Nothobranchius furzeri: one gene and its partners. The protein of the gene in region 3 purifies or fractionates together with the protein of the main gene of each other region. This does not show direct contact. Links are inferred from orthologs where the notes say so. Each region holds a gene or a part of one and is shown on either strand. Other genes may lie near its edges. The genes, in order: ncbp2, srsf3b and eif4a3.

Region 1 (4,112 bases), on a different chromosome or scaffold from region 3:
AATGGCACCACATCTTCGTAATTATATAGAAAAGTACACTGACTCACTGACTGTCCTAGCTTCATCCAGCTCTGACCTTCAGCTCTTGCTGGGTAGGTTCACGGCTGAGTGTGAAGCGGCTGGGATGAGGATCAGCACCTCCAAATCTGAGACCATGGTTCTCGACCGGAAAAGGGTGGCTTGCCAACTCCGGGTCGGGGGAGAGGTCCTACCTCAAGTGGAGGAGTTTAAGTATCTCGGGGTCTTGTTCACGAGTGAGGGTAGGAGGGATCGGGAGATCGACAGGCGGATTGGTTCGGCGTCTGCAGTGATGACGCTGAGCCGATCTGTCGTGGTGAAGAGGGAGCTGAGCCAGAAAGCCAGGCTCTCGATTTACCGGTCGATCTACGTCCCAATCCTCACCTATGGTCATGAGCTTTGGGTAATGACCGAAAGAACGAGATCGCGGATACAAGCGGCCGAAATGAGTTTCCTCCGTAGGGTGGCCGGGCTCAGCCTTAGAGATAGGGTGAGGAGCTCGGAGATTCGGGAGGGACTCGGAGTAGAACCGCTGCTCCTCCGGATCGAAAGGAGTCAGTTGAGGTGGTTTGGGCATCTGGTCAGGATGCCTCCTGGACGCCTCCCTGGGGAGGTGTTTCGGGCATGTCCTGCCAGCAGGAGGCCCCCGGGTCGACCCAGGACACGTTGGAGAGGTTACATCTCCAATCTGGTCCGGGAACGCCTTGGGGTCCTGCCGGAGGAGCTGGTGGAGGTGGCCGGGGAGAGGACGGTCTGGAGCTCCCTAGATGGGATGCTGCCCCCGCGACCCGGACCCGGATAAGCGGAGGAAGACGACACTGACTCAATACCCTTGGGTATTTGCTTTCCTAAACATATGTTTATGAAGGAATGATTAGGTTTAGTTAGAAGTTAATCCATTACACCATCTCATTTAGACAAGGCAGTTTTATTTATATTTCAAACAGAAGCAATTAAACGTCCTTTCAGGTCCAAGTAAAACGCCCGAAAACAAAAATTAGCCGACAGAGTAAAACTGTAAGGTTCGTCTTCAGCGTTCAGACATAAATTCTGATTGCTTTACAGCCAGACAGGACGTGGTTTATAAAAAAAAAGAAGCATAAAGATGCAAATGTTTAAATCGAATTTAAGATGTACAAATAAAAATATTTAAAAAAAACTGCAGAAGGTGTTGATGTTGGAAGAAAAAGAATATATATATATATATATATATATAAAATCAGTAATTTGCTAATGAGATTTCTTGCACATATATGGCATTAAAACACTTCTGATGCTGATATAAAAATCCCCATCTCACCCTCCGTGGGTGGTCTCATCCTTCCAACCTTGGGTCCTCTACCAGAGGCTTGGGATCTTGAGGGTTCTGCAGTATATTAGCTGTTCCTAGAACTGCACTTTTCTGGACTGAGAGGTCTGATTGTTTTCCTTGGATCTGCTTTAGCCACTCCTGCAGTTTGGGGGTTATTGCCCTGATGACCATGGGCACCACCGATGTCTTCACTCTCCAGCTTAAGTTCTTCTTTGAGGCCCTGGTACTTTTCTAGTTTCTCGTGCTCCTTTTCCCGGATTTGCATGACTTGGTATCGCCACATCAACCACAACGGCTGATCTCTGTGGTTTGTCCACCACCACAATGTCCGGTTGGTTCACCATCACCATTTTGTCAGTCTGGGTCTGGAAGTCCCACAGGAGCTTGGTTCTCTTGTTCTCTACCACCTTAGGGTCAAAAGGTACGTGCAGTCCAAGTGCACCAAAATACAAGAAATCCTGAAAGTGATGGTCTGGTCCCACAGAGCCTGATCTCAACATCAATCGTGTGTCTAGGATTACAGGAAGAGACAGAAGGATGTGAAGAAGTCCATATCCACCGATGATCTGTGGTTAGTTCTCCAAGATGTTTAGAACCAGCCCAGTTCCTTCAACAAATGTGTGTGTGCACCTAGAACTGATGCTGTTCTAAAGGCAAAAGATGGTCACACCAAATATTGATTTGACTTGATTTAGATTATGTCCATTCACTGCTTTTTTGATTCTTGATAAATGATTAACACTTCCAGTTTTGAAAGCATTCTGCGTTTTTCCCACTAATACACTAAGAAGAAACACACACACAAACAACTACAAAGCTCGGATGAAGGCGAAAACTTAAAAAAAAATTGTAAGCAAACGCAAAATGATCTAATTTAGCGATCCTCCGTGTTTCCTCCCGGATGTATTTAGTGGACGGACAAAATACCCGGAAGTACATCATCCAAACTCGCGTCGTTAGCATTCTGCCTAAGTAGTCATTTATCCAAAATGTCTTCTAAACTAAACGCTTTAACCAGCGATTCTTACACTGAGATTAGTCAATATAGAGATCAACACTTTAAGGTAAGGGAGAAGGTGAATGAATTCGACTTTTGTATGTAAATGTGTTTTTCTCCTGCTCTAAGAGTAGTTTTATGTCATGTTTGTTTTTAGGGTAATCGTTATGAACAGGAGAAGCTGCTAAAGCACAGTAACACTCTGTATGTTGGGAACCTCTCCTTTTACACAACGGAAGAGCAGGTAAGACCTTTAAATAAAGCTAGCTTCGGCTTCCTGAGGACTGCTTTACTTCTTACATTATTCCATGAAAACCTTTCAGAACTTCTAAACGTGGTTATAACCAGCTAAATAATCCGATGTTCAAGATCGATGTAGCTACTACTGAGATCTGATGAATGTTGGCTTATAAAAACTAGACGGTTGTGGCTGGTTTATACTAGATTGAAGGCATATTTCGAATCACTGCTAATATGAACAGGTGCACGAGTTGTTTGCTAAATGTGGAGACGTGAAGCGTATCATCATCGGCCTGGATAAAATCAAGAAGACTGCCTGCGGATTCTGTTTTGTTGAGTATCCTTTTAAACTATTGGTAAATGGCCTGTATCTGTATAGCATCTTCTTAAGGTTCTACAGCCCCCCAAGGTGCTTTACAACACAATTAGTCACCCACCCACACATTCACACGCTGGTGATGATGAGCTACAATGTTGCCACAGCTGCCCTGGGTGCATAGACTGGCACAACCGGTCCTACTGACCACCACCAGCAGACAAGGCAGATTAAAAGTTTCGCCCAAGGACACAACAGCAGCATTCTCTGGCTGGAGCCGGGATCAAACCTACAACCTTCCAATTACTAGACAACCCACTCTACCTCCTGAGGTACTGCTGCTCTATCGTCACCTGATCTAGTAAAGCCAATTGATGCACAAGAAAACAAACCGTTTAAATGTCAACAGTGTTTCTGTCTTGACTGGTCGTGTATTAAAAGGGTAGCATTGATGTGAAAATGAACAGAGTGTGGACCTTAGCTGCGCCTGTACCAGATACTACACACGAGGAGACGCAGAGAACGCCATGCGCTTCGTTAACGGTACCCGGCTGGATGACCGGATCATCAGGACAGACTGGGACGCAGGCTTCAAGGAGGGCAGGCAGTACGGGCGTGGCAAATCTGGAGGACAGGTGAGGTTTACGGTCATTTTGGTTCATAATGTGAACTTGCTTAAAGGCCCAGTGTGTGATATTTTTTACCAGTTTACTATCAAATCCTGTGTTTGCAGTTCACAAACTGCAAACTTATATAGTTATACATTTTATATACATAATCTGTGGTCGAGGCTCCATGGTCATCCACCATCTTAAAATACAGTAGCTGTTTAGGGACATACGAGCTCCACGTTACCGTTTGGACTATGACTGTAACCTGAAAGAACCAGCAGAGGGCAGCAGTGTGCCCTGGAAGCATGAAGTCTGCTAATTCAACTAAGAAATAGAAAAGAATAGCTACACCGTTGCTCTACTTGTTAGTTTGAATTAAAAACAACTAAATCAAAAGACATCAAATTTGTCCATTCCTCGTCATGTCCAACACAAGATCCCCGCCCGCCATTATCTGGAAGCCAGCCTCTGATTAGTGTCTCTGACTCCCAAACTCACCTCAAGTTGTTCATCCATCTTTTCGTAGAACCAGAACTCCCGATCCGGTCCCAACGTGTCTGTACTAAAGTCCTTCTACTCAAGTCTCCTCTCTTCCCGCAGCCTGCCGTCTCTCCCAAC
Region 2 (4,430 bases), on a different chromosome or scaffold from region 3:
GTTTATTGCAGCTATCACAACATTTCACATATGTTGCAGTCAAACTGGTATTTGTGATGGTGTTCATCTGGAATCTTCATAATTTTTAGTCAAAATTCAGTCTTGAGAAGTGTTACCACAGAAGAGGATCAAGGCCACTGAAAAGAAAATGAGTATTCTGACTTTTTGCTCATAATTTTGACTGGTTTTTTTTTTTTTTTTTTTTTTTTTGCTGAGATTTAAAGTCAGAATTCTTAAAAAAATGTAATTCTTAAGACTTCCCTCTCCCCAGCCACTTGAGCAGCTCTTCCGGAGGAACCCAAATGCATTCCCTGGCCAGGTGAGAGGCATAATCCCTCCAACGTGTCCCAGGCCTCCCTTTAGGTTTTCTCTCGGTTGGATGTGCCCGGAAAACCTCACCAGGGAGGCTTCCAGGGCCGCATCAACTGACTCCACTCGATGTGGAGGAGCAGCAGATCTACTCCATGTTGTTTACTTACATTAAAAATAATAATGAAACCTGTCATGCAGGCCTGCAGCACATTCCAAAAGAAAATTAGAACATTTACTTTGGAATGTTGCCCAATGTTCACAATGCTTAGAAGACTGTTTTATTAAAGATACCAGGTGACAATGTTTATCATTGAAAGGGCATCAGTCATCACTGTCTGTCACTTGTGCCCATAGTTGAAAGAATAGGACTTGAAACAGGCTGATCCAGTGGTTAAACCTTTTTCTACTGCTTCAGTGCCTTTTCTAAGATAAGCAAACTGTGCTTTATGCTGTTTAGGTAAAAATAGACTGACTTCGTTGGGAAAAGATGTCTATCTCATTTGTTTTTCTAAATTCTAAAATGTGCTTTTCTGGTTAAAATGCTGTTATTATTTTTCCAAGAACATTGACATGCTCATAAATCTTTACATATCGTGACTTTGGGACATGGGTGACTTGTGCTCAGAAGATCTGTTATCTGTCAGTGAAGTAATACATTTGTAGTGATAATATCACACCAAACCACTTTACACTGGCTTCCGGTAATTTTCAGTATACAGTTAATATTTATAATGCTACTTTTACAGAATAGTTTAATAGTGCGGCATAACTTTGAACTTTTAAACGTTAAAGCAATAATAATAACAGTAATAATAATAATATCTTGAGGATTTTCAGATTCTAAATTTAAAAAAATGAGGGGCCATAATTTTTATTTGGTGGTATTTGGTTAATCATATCTTCTTTTCACATTGGTATTTAATGTCTATATCTAATTCACACTTATTGCTAAGTTGCAGTTTCTGTAATATGATGTTGTTTTGATTTATAACGAACTGTAAATATTAACTTTATTAATGATAATCGAATTTAGGTTGAGTTCTTTCTAAAACGTTTAGAAAACAGCGTCACTAATTTCCTCATGTGGCCATATATGGTATTGTAGCTCACCTCATTTGGCGTTTGAAACAAATCTTTCAAGAGTCAGTAAAATGCCCAACGTGTATTATCGAGTCATCTCGATGACTGAAATGATGAAAGGTATTCAAAAAAGGTATTTAGAGTAGGAGCCAAACCTTTAGAGCAGGAAACATCCCGCCTTGCCCGCTCCCTGCAACTTCCGGGTGAATATATCCGCAGACCAGCGTCTGTTCCGTCACTCCATTTTCCCTCGACCAACCGAGGAGCTCTAACGTGTGGGAGAAGCGTTTTTGCTCAGAGCTGTAACTTCAATCAAAAAACGGTACTGCTTGTTTTAATACATTCATTGTTTATGATATGGAGCTTACTTAGAAGAAACAAATTTCGGGGCGCGTGTTTTTTTAACTACGTGCACATGGTTTCATTGTTCGGGTTGATTTAGAGCGCCTCTAGCCGAGAGTAGGCCGCGGAAAGACGGCAGCCATCTTATTTTTACAGCTATTAGCGCCGACATTTACTCTGCCGAGTTTTTTCCTAAATGTTTGTATATGTTGATTTGTTTGTTTCGGTTCATTGGAAACTAAAGCGAGTTTGGTTTCATTGGTAACGCCTAATTCATGATTTGGTTTCCGTGCTTGCTAATGTTAGCACTTATCGCTAACGGAAACTAGGTCATGTATTCTTGTTCAGCCTGGGGTTGAATTTATTTATTTCTAATAAGATATTAAAATGTTTTATCGGGTCACAGAACACTTTTGTACATGCATCTAGATTAAAGGCCTGTCTTTTATCACATTACTGTGTTTACATGGGCTATATTTTTACCATCCTAGTACGATTTTCTTCATTTAAAACATCCTAGTATGATTTTCTTCATTTAAAACTATCTAACATATCATTCCTAATTTGTGCAACAGGAAGAGAAACAATGCGGTTTTCGCCTAACGGATCTAACTGCTTCCCATTTTTCTCTTTGCTGTTGATCTCAGCTCCAGTCATGCATCGAGACTGTCCCCTAGACTGTAAAGTCTACGTTGGAAATTTGGGCAACAATGGAAACAAGACGGAGCTAGAGAGAGCTTTTGGCTACTACGGCCCCCTCCGCAGTGTCTGGGTGGCCAGGAACCCCCCAGGTTTTGCCTTTGTGGAGTTTGAAGACCCTCGAGATGCAACTGATGCAGTTCGAGAGCTTGATGGAAGGTGAGTGTAGATGTATATTTTGCTGTAAACGCAGAGGGCATCTGAATTAGTTCTGCAGGAGCTAACGACCTCTGCCCTTTGTGATTGGCCACCAGGTCACTTTGTGGTTGCCGAGTTCGAGTGGAGCTGTCCAATGGAGAAAAACGTAACCGTAGCCGTGGAGCTCCCCCTTCGTGGGGCAGGCGTATTCGAGACCGAGATGACTATCGACGTCGTAGCCCGCCTCCCCGACGAAGGTGACCTAAGTGTATTTGATAACAGACAATAGAGATAAATTGTATTTTTAACATTCTTGCTGATTTACTCATCCATCTCTTTCCTGCTGATAACATTGGTGACTGTTGGTCTATCAAAGCCTTGCAGTTTCATCCTCATTGGCATTAGTCATTTAGTACAACCAGCCAAACAGGTATTTGATCCAATTACAGAATTATGCCTTTTAGACAGGACATTGTTTTTGACAATGTAGCCTCTATGTTGAAAGCTGCTTAAGTGTCACGCAAAATGTGACTTTTGCTTCAGACATAAATACTTCTTTGAAGTGTGTACTGTTGTGTGCTTAAAATGTTAAGACTTAAGGTGGCAAAATAGGGCTGTGAATCAGGTTTAGGCAGAAAAGAAAGGGCTTTATTCATAAAAATATGACTTGTTTAAAGATTTTGGTGGATGAAAGTGCCAAATGTGTTGTGAAAAATTCCTTTTTTTTGTTTGAGGATGCTTTATACTTTTTATCTATATTAATAAGAATGAAACCCGTTGCAGAGCCACCACCATGCCTCTTCTCACCACCCTCTGAGTCAGTCAACTAGTCTTCTTTCAGCATCATGTGACTGCTGACCATCGGGCCCCAATCAGCTTGGCTTGTGCTGTCACATGACCCAGGCATGGCCAGTCGTCAGGTTGCACCAGCCCATTGGTTCCTCAGCATGCCGTTCTCAACCTCCTTCTCCTTCAACCTTTAACCAAACGGCAGCGGCCCACATCACATTCCCGACCAATCAGCGTATTATGTTCCCAAAAGTCTACAACCTACCGGCAGCAGCCTTCGGCTTACCAATTAAAGCAGGAATAAAGCCACAACCAGCCCCCATCTGCCTGCCATCTAATCACCTTGCAGCATCCGGCCAGTCCCATTCAGCCAATTCTACCTACCCGGCCGACAGTCTGCCTCCCTTTCGTCATATCTAGCTTGTTGAAATCCAAAAATACTAGTAAGTTTTCCTGCTTCATTCAGTACACTGCAGATTACAGTTTTAACACTGAAGAAACAGCTGGTTTGAAAAGGTTATTTCTTTATCTCATTTATTGGTTTGTCGTTTTATTATCCACTATTTTTCAAACAGGAATGATTTTATATCAAATATCTGGAACGTCATGTTTCCAGAGGTTTTGATATGATAGCTAATGTTCTTTTACTTGATACACACACCATCCAAAACTCAAGCCTTTCTATGACTCAGTCTATGATTGTGGTGTTGGCGGCGACATTTTAACCTGGTTTTTTTCTCAATTTATTTCCTGTGACATATACATCTTTACTAGCCTCCATTTTTGTTTAGGTATTTCTTTTGAAGTGAACCAGTTTCATACAGATGGTGGCCCCTGTACGTTCTTATTTTTCACACACGGGCCAGTCCACAGTACAGTGTTTGCTCTTCTCAGAGCCCAAACCCTCTTAAATTATTAATGGGATTCATTAGACAGTACTTATTACAATTACAAAAGTTACTCATTGTACTGTGGGATAGGTGAGAGGAGATTACTTGACACCTGCCATCTTTATGTGCTAGGTTTACTGCCAGTGGCTATTTTCTGATACATTTTTCTGAGAGGGGGAA
Region 3 (3,648 bases):
TCACAACTCGCTATATGCGGGGCTTAGGCAAGCGCCAATAGCACGCCTCCAGGCGGCTCAGAACTCGGCTGCTCGGTTGTTAACATCTACCAGGAGGTCTGAACATATTACACCAGTCCCACGTGCCTTGCATCGGCTCCCTGTCTCCTATCGCATCAGGTTTAATGTCTTCCTGTTTGTGTTTAAGGCGTTAAACTCAGGGGCACCTAAACACCTTTGTGACGTCATCCACCGACATGTCCCGGTGCGTTCCCCTAGGTCAGCTGACCAGAGACTATTAACCGTGCCCAGGTACAGCCTGAAGTCTCGTGGGAGTCGTGCCTTTTCAGCGCTCGGACCAAGTCTGTGGAACGAGCTGCCAGCCGACGTAAAGCAGGCCAAATCACTGGAGACCTTTAAAAGCCGACTACAAACGCATCTGTTCTCGTTGGCGTTTGGTAGGGCTGGGGGTAAACGATTATTTTTAAAACGATTATTCTGACGATTATTTTATCGAATAGTCGACTATTCTAATGACTATTTAGAAAATTAATCTAATGATTATTTTTCTATTGCACAATTAACAAAAACCAGAAAATCTCAAATAAATTCCTCAAAAAAATTGATAAATTGTTACTGTAAGAGAATAAACACTACAGGCCTTCCATTTTGTATAACACTGCTTTTATTGTGTTGGTTGGTTATGTTCTGGTGACGTGTAGAACTTGGGAGTGCAGGCTGCTGCCTGAGAGGTGGTAGAAGATGGAGTGTCTCCATGCTGCTTTGTTTTGGTCACTTATGTGCGTGAGGCGAGTGGTCTTACGGGTTAAACCAAACTCAGGTGATATTTTACACTAAACCGAAAACCCACAACACTCTAAATGTAATAAAAGGGAGATCTACGCCACAAAAAGATGAACTCTAAACCAAAACGTAACGGCTTATCCAAACGCAAGAAGCTGTTAGCGAAAATGTTAACAGTAGCTTTACCAACGTTAAGTTCAAGTTACCAAGTTTAAACAAACCAAAAACACCCAGCAGCAAACAGACCAGCACGGAGGAGAGACTGCTACCACCAAAACAGCTCTCCTCATGTCTGAAAGAAGCTCCTTAATGAAGGGAGAAACGCTCCCGGTGATGTCCTACATCTGCGGTAGAGACCGAGCAGCACATCTGACCCCGGAAGTTGTCCGATGCCGGGAGACGAAGGCGGGCAAAACAGGAAAGGAATCTAGTAGTGGACGGACATTGTTCCGGGTCTTCGGTATTTGGCGGAGATGTTAGTGAAGGCGGAGAAGAGGGCGAACTAGAGGAAAAACAGACAGATTCCTCCTCTATTTACAAACTCCTGGGGATGCAACAAGTGGGCGCGGTGCGTCGACTTCCGGATCTGACGTCGACAAATTTTTAGAATCGAGCCGTCAACGTCATCTAGGCTTCGCTACAGCCCTAGCGTTTGGACACTGAAGTTGGGATTGGGTGGGCAGCATCACTTTGAATGTGTCTGGATCTGATTCTGGGAAAGGACTGATATGGATTGCGAACTTGTACTCGGGATTTCTTATTGTATTTTAAATGGTTATATGTCTGTTTTATTGTTGTGATTCTTATTGGTGTACAGCGCTTTGTTTGTCCGTTTTGGGCGTGTGAAAGCGCTTTATAAATAAAGTTGATTTGATTTGATATACCAGTCGGCCTCTGGTTTAAACAACTTTTCCTGCACAGTTGAAGCTGTTTTTTCCTGTTGATGATTAAAGTCTGCAGCGCCGCTCTCTCTTCGTGCTGCCGGTGCGCGCGGCGGCCAGACCCGAGGATCAGCTGATCTGAGCCCTGCTGAACCAAAGGCAGAGAAATAGTTTAACCTCCAACCTGTGGGTGTGGTTTCAGGTGGACTGGCTGACAGAAAAGATGAGGGAGGCCAACTTCACTGTGTCCTCCATGCACGGAGACATGCCGCAGAAAGAACGAGAGTCCATCATGAAGGAGTTCAGATCTGGAGCAAGGTATTAGATTCTCAGCGGACATGGTGGACACGCACTCAAAACCACAGCATCACATACGTTCTACCAAATCTCTCTCCTACAGTCGTGTCCTCATCTCCACCGATGTCTGGGCTCGAGGTCTGGATGTCCCACAGGTGTCCCTCATCATCAACTATGATCTGCCCAACAACAGAGAACTCTACATCCACAGGTATGAGACGCTAATGTGGGAGGAGCTTATCAAGGCTGGTATTGTTAACGTAGACTAAAAGGTAAAACATTTTGATGAACTGAATTGAAAATATAAAGGAGATTTTACAAAAAAAGCAAACTAACTGAAACTAACGAGCATTCACACAACTAAAGAAAAAATGTGTATTAAAATAGCGGAAAGGAGACGCCCCCTAGAGGACAGCAGGGCTGTGGCAGTGACCTGTCTATGATGCCATCAACAGGAGGGGACCCTTTAGGAAGATGCCACTTAAATTAGGGGTGCACAATATATCCGCATCAATAGGTGTCAGTCCGATAAACAAAACTGGGCCGATATTAACAACCGATATAATTTCCATCTTGTTTCCATCCATTTATCTGAGGGTGAGGGTGGTGGTGTATAAATTCAGTTCAGGTAACCCATGTGCAGCAAAGCAGTGAGGTACGGGGTGCACCGCCCTGCAGGGCCCTATAGACATGGAGCAGGACCTTAAGTTTAGCCAGGTACACAACCGAGAACCAGTGAAGCAAATCCAACACGGGAGCGATATGATCCCTCTTCCTTGTACCTGTCAAGAACCAGAGTGTCCAGTTCTGGGCCACCTGGAGCCGTGCCACCGCACCCAGGCTCAGACCAGCATCTGGTAGAAGCATCAAATTTTAAGTTCGTGACTACCTTCCTATCGTGTGAGGACAGAGAAGCAAGGTCAACCTGAAGGCTCTATTGGTGGTCAGAATCATTACCTCCGTTCTGTTCATATTCAAATGCAAATAACTGTAGGCCATCCATAACTTAACTTCCTCCTAAGAGTCTAGAGTGGAGAGACGGAGCCACCTGTCCCCAGACAGAGAGGTGGGTAGATCTGGAACCATCGCATTATGCTGACAGGGAGCCCCTCACTGGCAGCAAATAGACTGCAAAAAGAGGGGGCCCAGCATGGAGCCCTGTGGAACCCATCATCAGAGTCTCTCCCAGGCAGAGGTGGTCTTCCCTATCCAGACACCACTTAACGTCAAAGTAGGACTGCAGCCATTGAAGGGCCGGGTTAGGGTTAGTTGTTACCGGTCCAAAAATATGTTGGGACTGTGTCAAAAGCTGACGTTCTAGTAAAAGTACGACGACGGCATCGCACACATCTAGCTGAAAGACTGTAACGCAAAACCGTTAAAGGGGCGGTCTTGGTGCTGTGTCAGATGGAGCGAGTCTTGCGTGTTCCTTCTTCTCCTAAGATCCACAATCATCTTTGTTCTGTTAACATCTAAGATCAGATGCCTCACCCTTCCACAGATTCACCCACATCGTCTCTGTCCTCTGTCTCTTGTCCATGTCTGAGACACTCTGAATGACAGGACCAGGACATAGAATAGAATCGACCTAATTAATCCCACAGTGGGAGAATTCACTTGGAGAAAAGGAAGAAGAAGTAAATGATAGCAAAAGTACAGGTGAATACACGAAGGCAGTCCGCTGTTA

The links.
Region 1: the proteins of eif4a3 (region 3) and ncbp2 purify together in Homo sapiens (co-immunoprecipitation; 3 studies listed by BioGRID and IntAct, with this or other methods). This does not show direct contact. The link is inferred for Nothobranchius furzeri from reciprocal best matches to the Homo sapiens genes EIF4A3 and NCBP2.
Region 2: the proteins of eif4a3 (region 3) and srsf3b purify together in Homo sapiens (affinity purification with mass spectrometry; 3 studies listed by BioGRID and IntAct, with this or other methods). This does not show direct contact. The link is inferred for Nothobranchius furzeri from reciprocal best matches to the Homo sapiens genes EIF4A3 and SRSF3.

Annotation. Positions count from the first base shown.
Region 1 is NC_091748.1:71,743,314-71,747,425, forward strand, and holds the start of ncbp2 (nuclear cap-binding protein subunit 2), read left to right. Parts: upstream 1-1,291; 5' UTR 1,292-2,319; coding exon 2,320-2,394; intron 2,395-2,484; coding exon 2,485-2,571; intron 2,572-2,809; coding exon 2,810-2,904; intron 2,905-3,379; coding exon 3,380-3,518; intron 3,519-4,112. UniProt on the Homo sapiens protein: Component of the cap-binding complex (CBC), which binds co-transcriptionally to the 5' cap of pre-mRNAs and is involved in various processes such as pre-mRNA splicing, translation regulation, nonsense-mediated mRNA decay, RNA-mediated gene silencing (RNAi) by microRNAs (miRNAs) and mRNA export.
Region 2 is NC_091743.1:46,711,466-46,715,895, reverse strand, and holds the start of srsf3b (serine/arginine-rich splicing factor 3b), read left to right. Parts: upstream 1-1,578; 5' UTR 1,579-1,714; intron 1,715-2,381; 5' UTR 2,382-2,389; coding exon 2,390-2,592; intron 2,593-2,687; coding exon 2,688-2,828; intron 2,829-4,430. UniProt on the Homo sapiens protein: Splicing factor, which binds the consensus motif 5'-C[ACU][AU]C[ACU][AC]C-3' within pre-mRNA and promotes specific exons inclusion during alternative splicing.
Region 3 is NC_091746.1:29,292,074-29,295,721, reverse strand, and holds part of eif4a3 (eukaryotic initiation factor 4A-III), read left to right. Parts: intron 1-1,866; coding exon 1,867-1,982; intron 1,983-2,064; coding exon 2,065-2,172; intron 2,173-3,648. UniProt on the Homo sapiens protein: ATP-dependent RNA helicase. Involved in pre-mRNA splicing as component of the spliceosome. Core component of the splicing-dependent multiprotein exon junction complex (EJC) deposited at splice junctions on mRNAs.